Linked DNA regions of Cricetulus griseus. The protein of the gene in region 1 purifies or fractionates together with the protein of each later gene. This does not show direct contact. Links are inferred from orthologs where the notes say so. Each region holds a gene or a part of one and is shown on either strand. Other genes may lie near its edges.

Region 1 (4,601 bases):
TGTCTCCTCTGAACCCCGAGACTTGCAGGCCTTGCCTCGATTCCGCCTGCCTCTGAAACAGTCCCTGCTCACAGCTTCCAAGGAACCCCAGGGTTCCGCCCGCCCAGCTTCGCCTCCCTCTTTCCCAGCGTCTCCGCCCCCTGCCCCGCCCCCGGGCCGGCTCGCAGAGGAGGGGGAGCTTCTGTCGCCACCGCCGCCGCCGCCGCCGCCTCAGCTTCCCACAGCCGCTGCTCCTGCCGCCGCCGCTCAGCTTGGTCCAACCTCCAGGCCCAGTGCTCTGACTTTGCCGAACCGGGGCGCTCTGCAGAGACATCTTCACTCCTTCCTGGGGGTCCCGGACACCTAGGCCGGCGTTGGGGGGAACCTCCGCTTGCGGGTGACAGGGAGGGAGGAGCCTGGAGCCGGAGCCCGCGACACCCGTCGCCCGGATCAACAGGACAGGACAGGTTGAGGGGCGTCGGGGAAAGGAAGGGGCGCTAAAGCAATCCCAGGGAGGACGAGGAAGCCCTGTCGTAGGAAGCTCTGATGCGCTATGACTTATTAAGGCCTGTTGACGTTTGAGGAGTGTTGACAACGTGGGTGCTCTCCACTCTTGGGGGCCTTGTTAGATTGGAGGGTGTGGGATCTAAGTAGTGCCAGTTGTCCCTCGGGAAATTTAAGGGGCAACCAGAAAACAAACAAAAACGACAGATGCTCCTTGTTTCGGGGTGACAGAGGGTCCTCCAGACAACCACCTGGTGTATGCACTAGGAAGGAAGGGCTGATTTGGAGGTGACTTCAAAAGGAGTGGAGGGTAACAAAGTAAGGAAATGGTCTCAGCAGCTGAAACCCTATGGTACTAGAACCCCAGGTACTGGAACCCTGTGAGAAAAAGCATTATCCAGCCAGAGGATCTGGGAACCCCTTCTCACTGAACCTTCTCACTGCATATTAAGACATATTTGGGGGGGATTTTTGAAGAAAGTGGGAGAGCCACTCCATTTAGAATATAGCAAAGGAAAAAAAAAAAAAAAACATCAGGACTGGGTTCCTCTCTGACATTGACAGCAGCCCAGGGTGAGCTAATGTCCCCAAAGATAAAGACCCGCACCCTTCAGATGAGAAGAGTAGGCTGGGCAGGAGAGGCCCCAAAATAGGGTGGAAAGAAGTCTGAGGATATTGAGAACGCATCTTGGGCATTTCGGAGGGTCTTGACTTTGGGACACAGGAAGTGGGGACAGAGGCCAGAGAGGAGGGGAGGGGAGAGCTTTCATTAGGGGACAAAATTCATGGGTGAGGTCAGCTAAAGAGTGCATAGGCTGTTGGAGCCGCTGGAGCTAGTGCAGGGCCCAAGGGTGAGAGCGGTGGTTGGGGCGTGGGGGGAAGCAAGGGGGGTCTGGGGTTAATCCTTAGGTCCTGTGGGTGGGGCGGTGGGTTGGGTCCAGAGCATGCCCTGGTGAGAGGGCTCCTCCAGGGGAGCCCAGGGCGCTCCGGGAGCCTGCTGGCTTGGGGGTGTCTCCTCCCGGGGCGCTATGGCGGCGTTGGCCAGTAGCCTGATCCGACAGAAGCGGGAGGTCCGCGAGCCCGGGAGCAGCCGGCCAGTGTCGGCGCAGCGGCGCGTGTGTCCCCGCGGCACCAAGTCTCTTTGCCAGAAGCAGCTCCTCATCCTGCTGTCCAAGGTGCGACTGTGCGGGGGGCGGCCCACGCGACAGGACCGCGGCCCAGGTGAGTGTGACTAGGGCGGGGTCTCCGGGCCAGAAGTCTTTCTGCCTGGGACCCGGGACCCTGAAGAATGCAGCTGATGGTGCGCGCGCGGGGGGGGGGTGTTGTCCCAAAAGTAGAAGAGGTGGGCTAGAACGACAAAACCTATGGGACTATGCTTCAGTTTCCTTCCTCTTTGCCCGTAATGCCGAGTCTCCTTGCTTTCGAGGGCAAGGGGAAGGTTTGAGGGGCCAAGTCTAACGACCCAAGCTTCTAGGCTTCTGTCTGCCCCCCTTCAACACAGGACTCCCCACCCCCACGGTTCTTCGCCTACGTGCAGGTTCTCGCGATTCTTTCCATCCGAAGCGGAGGAACCTGGGGGGTTCTGGACGCTTGGGTCACCCCGAGGGTTTCTGCAGCCCTGGCTGCCCCGCCCCCGCTCCGGTTCTCCCGCCCCTCCACGCTTTGGCTCTGTTCCTCCTGGTCGAGCTCGCCTGGCCAGGAGCCAATCTCTCCAGCTCTCCCCCGGGTGTCCTTGCAGCTACCTCGTCATCCAGCCCCCTCCGTACGCCCTCCTTCTGTGACCTGCGCTTCGAGGAGGGAGCTGAGCACCCCTCCCATTACTCCTGTGCGATTCGGAAATCCGATCCTACAGGCTCCGGGGACCCTCTGCTAGTAGGAACACACACACACACACACACACACACACACACACACACACACACACACACACACACACACACACACACACACACACTTCATGCTGAGGACCTGCACAGAGACTTGGGGGGGTCGTACCACTTACAAGGGGGAAGAGGAAAATCGGCAGAGAGCAAGCCGCGGGAAAGGAGAGGTGTAAGGGTTGGTATGTGATTCCCGTCCAGGTACGACAGTTAGGGAGTCCCTCTGGCTTCTCTCCAGGCCGCTGCCGGTTCCCCTAGGGGTAGCCCCTTGCGCCCTCCTTCCGCACCATCAACGGTAGGTAGTGGTACAGTCCGCAGCCCACCCTCTGAGTGGGACCCAGCCCCCACGTGATGCAGCTTGCCTCTCCATCTCTGTCCCCTCTTCCTTATCCTTGATGTGGTATGAATGCCTTCTATCCCAGGCTAGTTACCTGGCTGAAGGTTAGAGGCTCAGTCTCACGGAGAATTGGACCCTCCTGAGCCAGCTGACTGACTGACAGACAGACAGACAGACAGACAGATGGGTCAGTGTCAGACAAGCCGGCGCTGAGCCAAAGCAAGGCCCGCGCCAAGCAAGCGGCAGCTGCAGCAGCAGGTGCTGAGTCAGCGTCAGTCAAACCCAGTGCCACCCCTGCTTCTGAGGGGGAGCCCCTTCCCTATGGTCACCTTGCTGTTCACCCCGACATTTGCAAACACATTGCCCTGCGTCTCTAGCACTGTCCGTTACCTTTCATATCTTTCTCTTCTACCTCCTCTCTGCCCCCTCCCCCAACTCTGGTGGGGAGAAGGAATTAAGCCATTTAAATAAATTTCAATAAATTAAGCTGACGCTCATGATTAGAGAAAGCGGAAGAGACCCACACCCCAGCTTCCTCAGGAATCAAAGAGGGGTGGGAGGACGCTTGCTTGAAGGGTAAGAGAGCTGGGGCCCGGAACCGTCTTCTCTTCATTTCCCCTTCCTTCTAGCCTGTGATCCCGCCAAGTGTAGGAATGTTTCTGGGAACAGAGATGTCGTTTTTCAAAGATGAATGTCTCTCTCTCCAGAGCCTCAGCTCAAAGGCATCGTCACCAAACTGTTCTGCCGCCAGGGTTTCTACCTCCAGGCGAATCCGGATGGGAGCATCCAGGGCACCCCAGAGGACACCAGCTCCTTCAGTGAGAGGGGAAGCCAACTGCAGGGTGGGGAGTGGGGAGCCAGGGACAGGAGATGACAGGCTTTGTTGTCTTCAGTCTGTTTTCCTGAGCCCCAAGGGGAGCAGTGGAGCTGGAGTTCGGAGGGGACTCAGAGGAGAGTGAGGCAACTGAGTCCTGACATCTGCTCTCTACTCCCCCAGCCCACTTCAATTTGATTCCTGTGGGGCTCCGCGTAGTCACCATCCAGAGTGCCAAGCTGGGTCACTACATGGCCATGAATGCTGAGGGGCTATTGTACAGCTCGGTAAGACAATGCTGCTGAGTGGCCTGGGGTACTGGGGACACTGTCAGCATGCGACCATCCTTTGCTGCAGACAGGACTTGCACCCAGGACTCTGTCCTTCCTGCTTTGGCTGATCACTGCCTGTTCCAAAGTGGTCCTTGAGAGTACATCCAGTCTCTATTTGCACCGCTTATCCTAAAGTGCCCCAGGATCTTTGGATGTCTGACTCTTCCAGACATCCCCCCCACTTCTCAGCCTATCACCTTTACTCTGGATAGGAAGTAGTAAGAGACTGGGAATGCAGAGTAGAGATCTTATTTCCAGAGCCCCTATTGGTCTAGTTCTTACCCCTGGATGGCCCTCCAGGCTTTTCCTTACTCTCTCTCTCTGTGCTCTGATTTCTGCATGGCCTCATTGGTTGCCATCCTCCTTTAGAAAAAAATGTATGGATTGCATATTGGCTGTTTCTTCCCAAGGGTTCCCTTCTGCCAGTGATATAACTCTCTCTCTCTCTCTCTCTCTCTCTCTCTCTCTCTCTCTCTCTCTCTGTGTGTGTGTGTGTGTGTGTGTGTGTGTGTGTGTGTCTCTGGTGTGTGTGTGTCTCTGGTGTGTGTGTGTGTATGTGTCTGGTGTGTGTGTGTGTCCATTCCTCTTTCTGGATCTTTGTTCCTCAGCCACATTTCACAGCAGAGTGTCGCTTTAAGGAGTGCGTCTTTGAGAATTACTATGTCCTGTATGCCTCTGCTCTCTATCGCCAGCGTCGTTCTGGCCGGGCCTGGTACCTAGGCCTGGACAAGGAGGGCCGGGTCATGAAGGGAAAC
Region 2 (4,530 bases), on another chromosome or scaffold:
TTGAACATAAACCAACATGGGGTGGGGAAGAGGGATGATGTCTTTTAAGATCACAACTTTTTTTCTTGATAGGCCTGGCATAGTAGCACAGGGTAAAAGTTCAAGGCCAGCCTGGGCTACATAGTGAACCGCTATCACAAACAAACAAACCACAACCCGGTGAGGTGCTAGATATGAAAGAGTAGTGGAGAAGAATTTAGGAGAAAGGTCCCTGGGAAGACTTACTCTGAACACAGTAGAGAAGAATCTGGCTTCTCTGAATCCACGGAAGAGAGAAGGGTGAAGGAAAGGGATGAAAAGGGAGCAGGCGGCAGCTGGATGTGTAGGATGCTAGAGTTTTGTGGGATTTTGTGGCCATTGAGAAATCCCAAGGTGATGAGATGGCTGGAATAACTTTTCGGAACATTTCAGAAATGTGATTGAAGACTGTTTGCTATGTGATGTAACCTCTCCCCTGTGACCCACAAACCTTCATTAAAAGTTTTGCTACATATTATAGCTTCATTTTTGTGGTTTAGGGGTGGGAGTTGGAAAGAGAACAGGCTGATGTGACACCAAGAGCTAAAGAAACAGTCATAAGACTGGAATAGTGAATAAAATTTCAGACTAGGCAGCAAACTAGAGCCAAGGGTGACCATCAAAACCTAAGTCCCCTCAGTAATTCACAGAAATCCTGGGGACAACATTGTACTTTCCACAGGACATAGGAACTGGAGCCAATGTCATTTGAATGATGTTCAAAGGACAAACTACCTCAGCTGACACAAACAAGCTTTCCCTCTCCAAATGGACGAATTCTTGGAAACCATAAATGTGCCACAGGCACCTCTGCCATCCAGGGCCTTACACAGGGACCGTACACAGTAGAAACTGTGAGAGTGCTACTGAACGCACTCATGGCATGCTCACTCCGAGTAGAGCTGGCAGGCAGAGACTAATGTCCAGAGAGAGCATGCAGCAGGAGGGTCAATTTGGCCCGACCTTTTCTCAATCTGCCTTTAGTTCTCTACCTTCTGATCCATCAACCCTATCTTAATGACCTCTTGACATCAGCACGGCAGCCTGAAGGTCTTGTAAACAGACAAGGCCCAGGAGGAGATAGTGATGGAGGTCATAAAGGGTTGGGTAGAAACCAGACTGCTCTCAGCTTGTTCTGCCCCCTATGAAGTCAAAAAGCAAACACTGTCCCTTGGAAATGGGCTTCTGGTCCAAAGGGTCCAGCCATGGTGTGGGCCGAGTGAGAAGGCTGTTCCAGAAAAGGCCCTAAGATGTGTCCTGTGGGACTCTGACCTATGGCCCCAAGCATCGCTCTTTATACGCCCTCCCCTCCGTCCCCCACCCCACTCCTGTCCCGGGCCACCTCCCTACCCCAAGGTCTCCTGGGGAATTCATTTGGTAGTCCAAGGCCGCTCAGTCCTGAGGCATCCTTATAGGAACCACACCGGGCTCAACAGGGCTGATGGCACCACCTGGCGGCGTACATGGTACAAGTCGCCCTGGAAAGCTCATCACCCAGGAGCAAGAAAGGAGGCAGGACTGTTCTTGTGGCCCGGCCCAGCGTGGTAACATCAGCAGACTGCGCCAATTCTCCCCGCCTCTTTCCCCACCCTCCTTGGGCCTGCCAGTACTTGACGTGGCGTCTCCGCCCTCTACCCTTACTTTGCGTGCGTGCTTGCGTGCGGCGGAGGTTGCTGCGCGGGCAAGTCGGAGCTGCGCGCTGCTGCTTCTGGTTCTTCTGTGGCCGCCGTCGCTGTCCGGCAGTCTTGTACGGCGGTGCCGACGAGGCGCGCGGGTCACAGCCCTTCGGAAGCACCAGCAGCTCGGCGCGGGGCCTGGCGGGAAGGCGGGCGAGCGCGTGGCCGAGGGCGCCGCGCGGACGGGCGGGCGCCCGTGAGGGAAAGAGGCGGGGGCGGCGGGTTAGCCGCGGGCCGGGCCGGCCGGGGGATGTCGATGCCTGACGCGATGCCGCTGCCCGGTGTCGGGGAGGAGCTGAAACAGGCCAAGGAGATCGAGGACGCTGAGAAGTACTCCTTCATGGCCACAGTCACCAAGGCTCCCAAGAAGGTGCGGGGCTCTGGGTGGCGGCGGGGGCCCTCGCGGAAGGGGCGCGAGCAAGCCCCGGGCCCGGGCTCGGGTAGTTCGGGACTTCGGGCTAAGGTTTAGGGTGCTCGGGGACCACTGACACGATGTAGGGGGTGGCCGGTGAGCGGCCATGGGCCTATCTGAGGCCGAAGAGGCCGCTCTGACCTCGCTTTTCTTTGTCCCTCGGCCGGAGTCCTCCTGGATCTTTCTGAAGCCCGGCAGGGCCAGGCCTTATATTTGCGGCTGACTTTTTCCTGGATGGAGAGCCTTGAGAAAAAGACTGGGAGGGGGTGAACGACTCAGCTGACCCCTGTGACCTCTCCAGGGGATGAGGGTATACAGGAAATTTCCCCTTAAGTAAGTGGGGAAATCGGGCAGCGCTTTTTCAAGGCATCTCTTGGGGAGCGTTGGCCGTTTAACCAACAACTGCGTGATAGCTTAGAGGCAAGAGGAAAAACTGTATGAACTGGTTGAAGGCTCTAAAAGCAACAAGAAATTGAAAGTCAAAATGATTTTCGCCTTCCAGGCTTCCAGTTGCTTGGAAGTGTGAGAGAAAGGGAAATTGAGGGGTTGGTGACAGTAGACACTGTCATGGATGCAGGCTGATCCCAGTCATGTGAATAGATCATTTAGACATCCCTCCAGAAAGAAGCTTGGGTGGGTTGGAGAGGTGGGTGGTAAGAAATGATTGCTCATTCTTTACTGCACTTACTGAAGCAGAACAAGTTCAGCCTATTGTGCTGTGGGTTGCAGCCCAAAGGACATCCTTCTACAGCTCTTGGGAAAGAGAATCTATGGAGGGCTGAGTCTAACTAGCCCTCTCAGTTGGTGGGATTGAGATCCCCTGTGCTTTCTGTCAAACATTCCTTGACTTTCCACTTATCTGGCACCCAGTTAACAGTAGACCAAAGAACCTTTGCAAAGAGGTGACCTTCCTAAAGCCAATGAAAAACATGACAGATATTTCCCTCTTGTATAAAGTCATTTCAAAGCTAACCGTGCCTACAGTATTTGCTGGGATTCAGGTCTGGTATAAATTCAAAACAGCAAGGTTTGCAGGGGTAGTTAACCCCCCCCCCAGGTTCCCGCACCTGAACTAGTTAAGCTGTTCTAAGCACCTGAGAGGGCATCCCAACACCCCCTCTTCCAGGAAATTAATAAAAACAGGTCTAGAAAAGAGAAGTCATCACTGTGTGCTTCAGCTCTGTTTTCTCACAAAATTAAAAGATTTCTACCAATAGTGCCTTTAAAAGGTTATGGAAGGTTCCTTGATCCTAAGGGAGCCAGTTGACCTCATTTTTAGTGCTCTGGTTCCTCTGATTGCTTTGCTGAAGAAGTGACCTTTTGCAATCTACACTATTTGGATACACAGAGTTCTTACAAGCAAAATGCTTAAGCATAGTACCTCAGATGAGTTAAGGGAAAGAATAGGAAAATCTGATAGCCTAATCCCTCTGACTCTTATCTCTTACCATAAACCCACCTCCTTTCATCTAAATACTTGAGAGTATTTTTATTGTTCCTTTCCATTATTTCAGTGTAACTATATTCTTGCAAGCCAATACTGATAAGCCAAAATCTGTATACATTGTAAACTGTATACTTTATACATTGTAAACTCCTAGAGGCAAGGATTCTTGTTTACCATTTTATCTCTGGAACCTAACTCTGTACCTTGCATATAGTACTCAATTGTTAATTGTCAATCTGGCTAACCAGTAACTGAAATGCCAAATGCCAACAAGCAGTAAATATCCCCTTTCCTTTCTTCTTCCTGAGAGGAATAACACAAATGAGTATTATTGCGAAGCCAAGTGCTAATGACTTTAGAGACTCCCATTAGCTAAAATAAGCAAGTCTGCCAGGAGTGTGGGAAGACCCTGTTGTAAGTTTCCATTTGCTAGTATGTATGTCTCCTTGTTATTAATCTTGTTCTTTGAACTTTATTGTGTGGCATTTACGTTGTATTAAAATGCATTATGATGACTAATTGCCCTTCCCTTAATGATGATAAAAGGTATTTATTTAGTTAATGGACCAGTCAAGGTCATGTAGTAAATTCTAGGTAATCTGGTTTTGTTTTGTTTTGTTTTGTTTTTATTCCCCCTCAGAATTTGAGTTGGACTTATGACTTAGGTCACTTGTGTACCTCTTCCATGTGGTGATAATGTGACAAACTATGGGAAAGGTTAGGGTGGAAAAGAACTTGGCATGGTACTGAATAGTGTGAGAAAAAGGCCTATTTCAAATGGTGTAGTCCTTCACCCATGAGGATTCCAGCTTGACTCAACCAAGTAACTCTTGGATCATTCCCATTTCTGAGGCCCTTCTGGAATTGAGGACATTCCTAGGGCCAAAGAATATAGGTGACTTCAGTGCTTCTCAATAAGATCAGATCCTAGTGTACTTATCTTGACAGCTTTTATTTATTGTTTGATTCGTTTGAGG

Evidence for each region.
Region 2: the proteins of Fgf11 (region 1) and Ahcyl1 purify together in Homo sapiens (affinity purification with mass spectrometry; 3 studies listed by BioGRID and IntAct, with this or other methods). This does not show direct contact. The link is inferred for Cricetulus griseus from reciprocal best matches to the Homo sapiens genes FGF11 and AHCYL1.

Annotation. Positions count from the first base shown.
Region 1 is NC_048600.1:83,649,980-83,654,580, reverse strand, and holds the start of Fgf11 (fibroblast growth factor 11), read left to right. Parts: upstream 1-1,511; coding exon 1,512-1,704; intron 1,705-3,407; coding exon 3,408-3,518; intron 3,519-3,697; coding exon 3,698-3,801; intron 3,802-4,454; coding exon 4,455-4,601.
Region 2 is NW_023276806.1:49,463,536-49,468,065, forward strand, and holds the start of Ahcyl1 (S-adenosylhomocysteine hydrolase-like protein 1), read left to right. Parts: upstream 1-1,683; 5' UTR 1,684-1,944; coding exon 1,945-2,064; intron 2,065-4,530. UniProt on the Homo sapiens protein: Multifaceted cellular regulator which coordinates several essential cellular functions including regulation of epithelial HCO3(-) and fluid secretion, mRNA processing and DNA replication.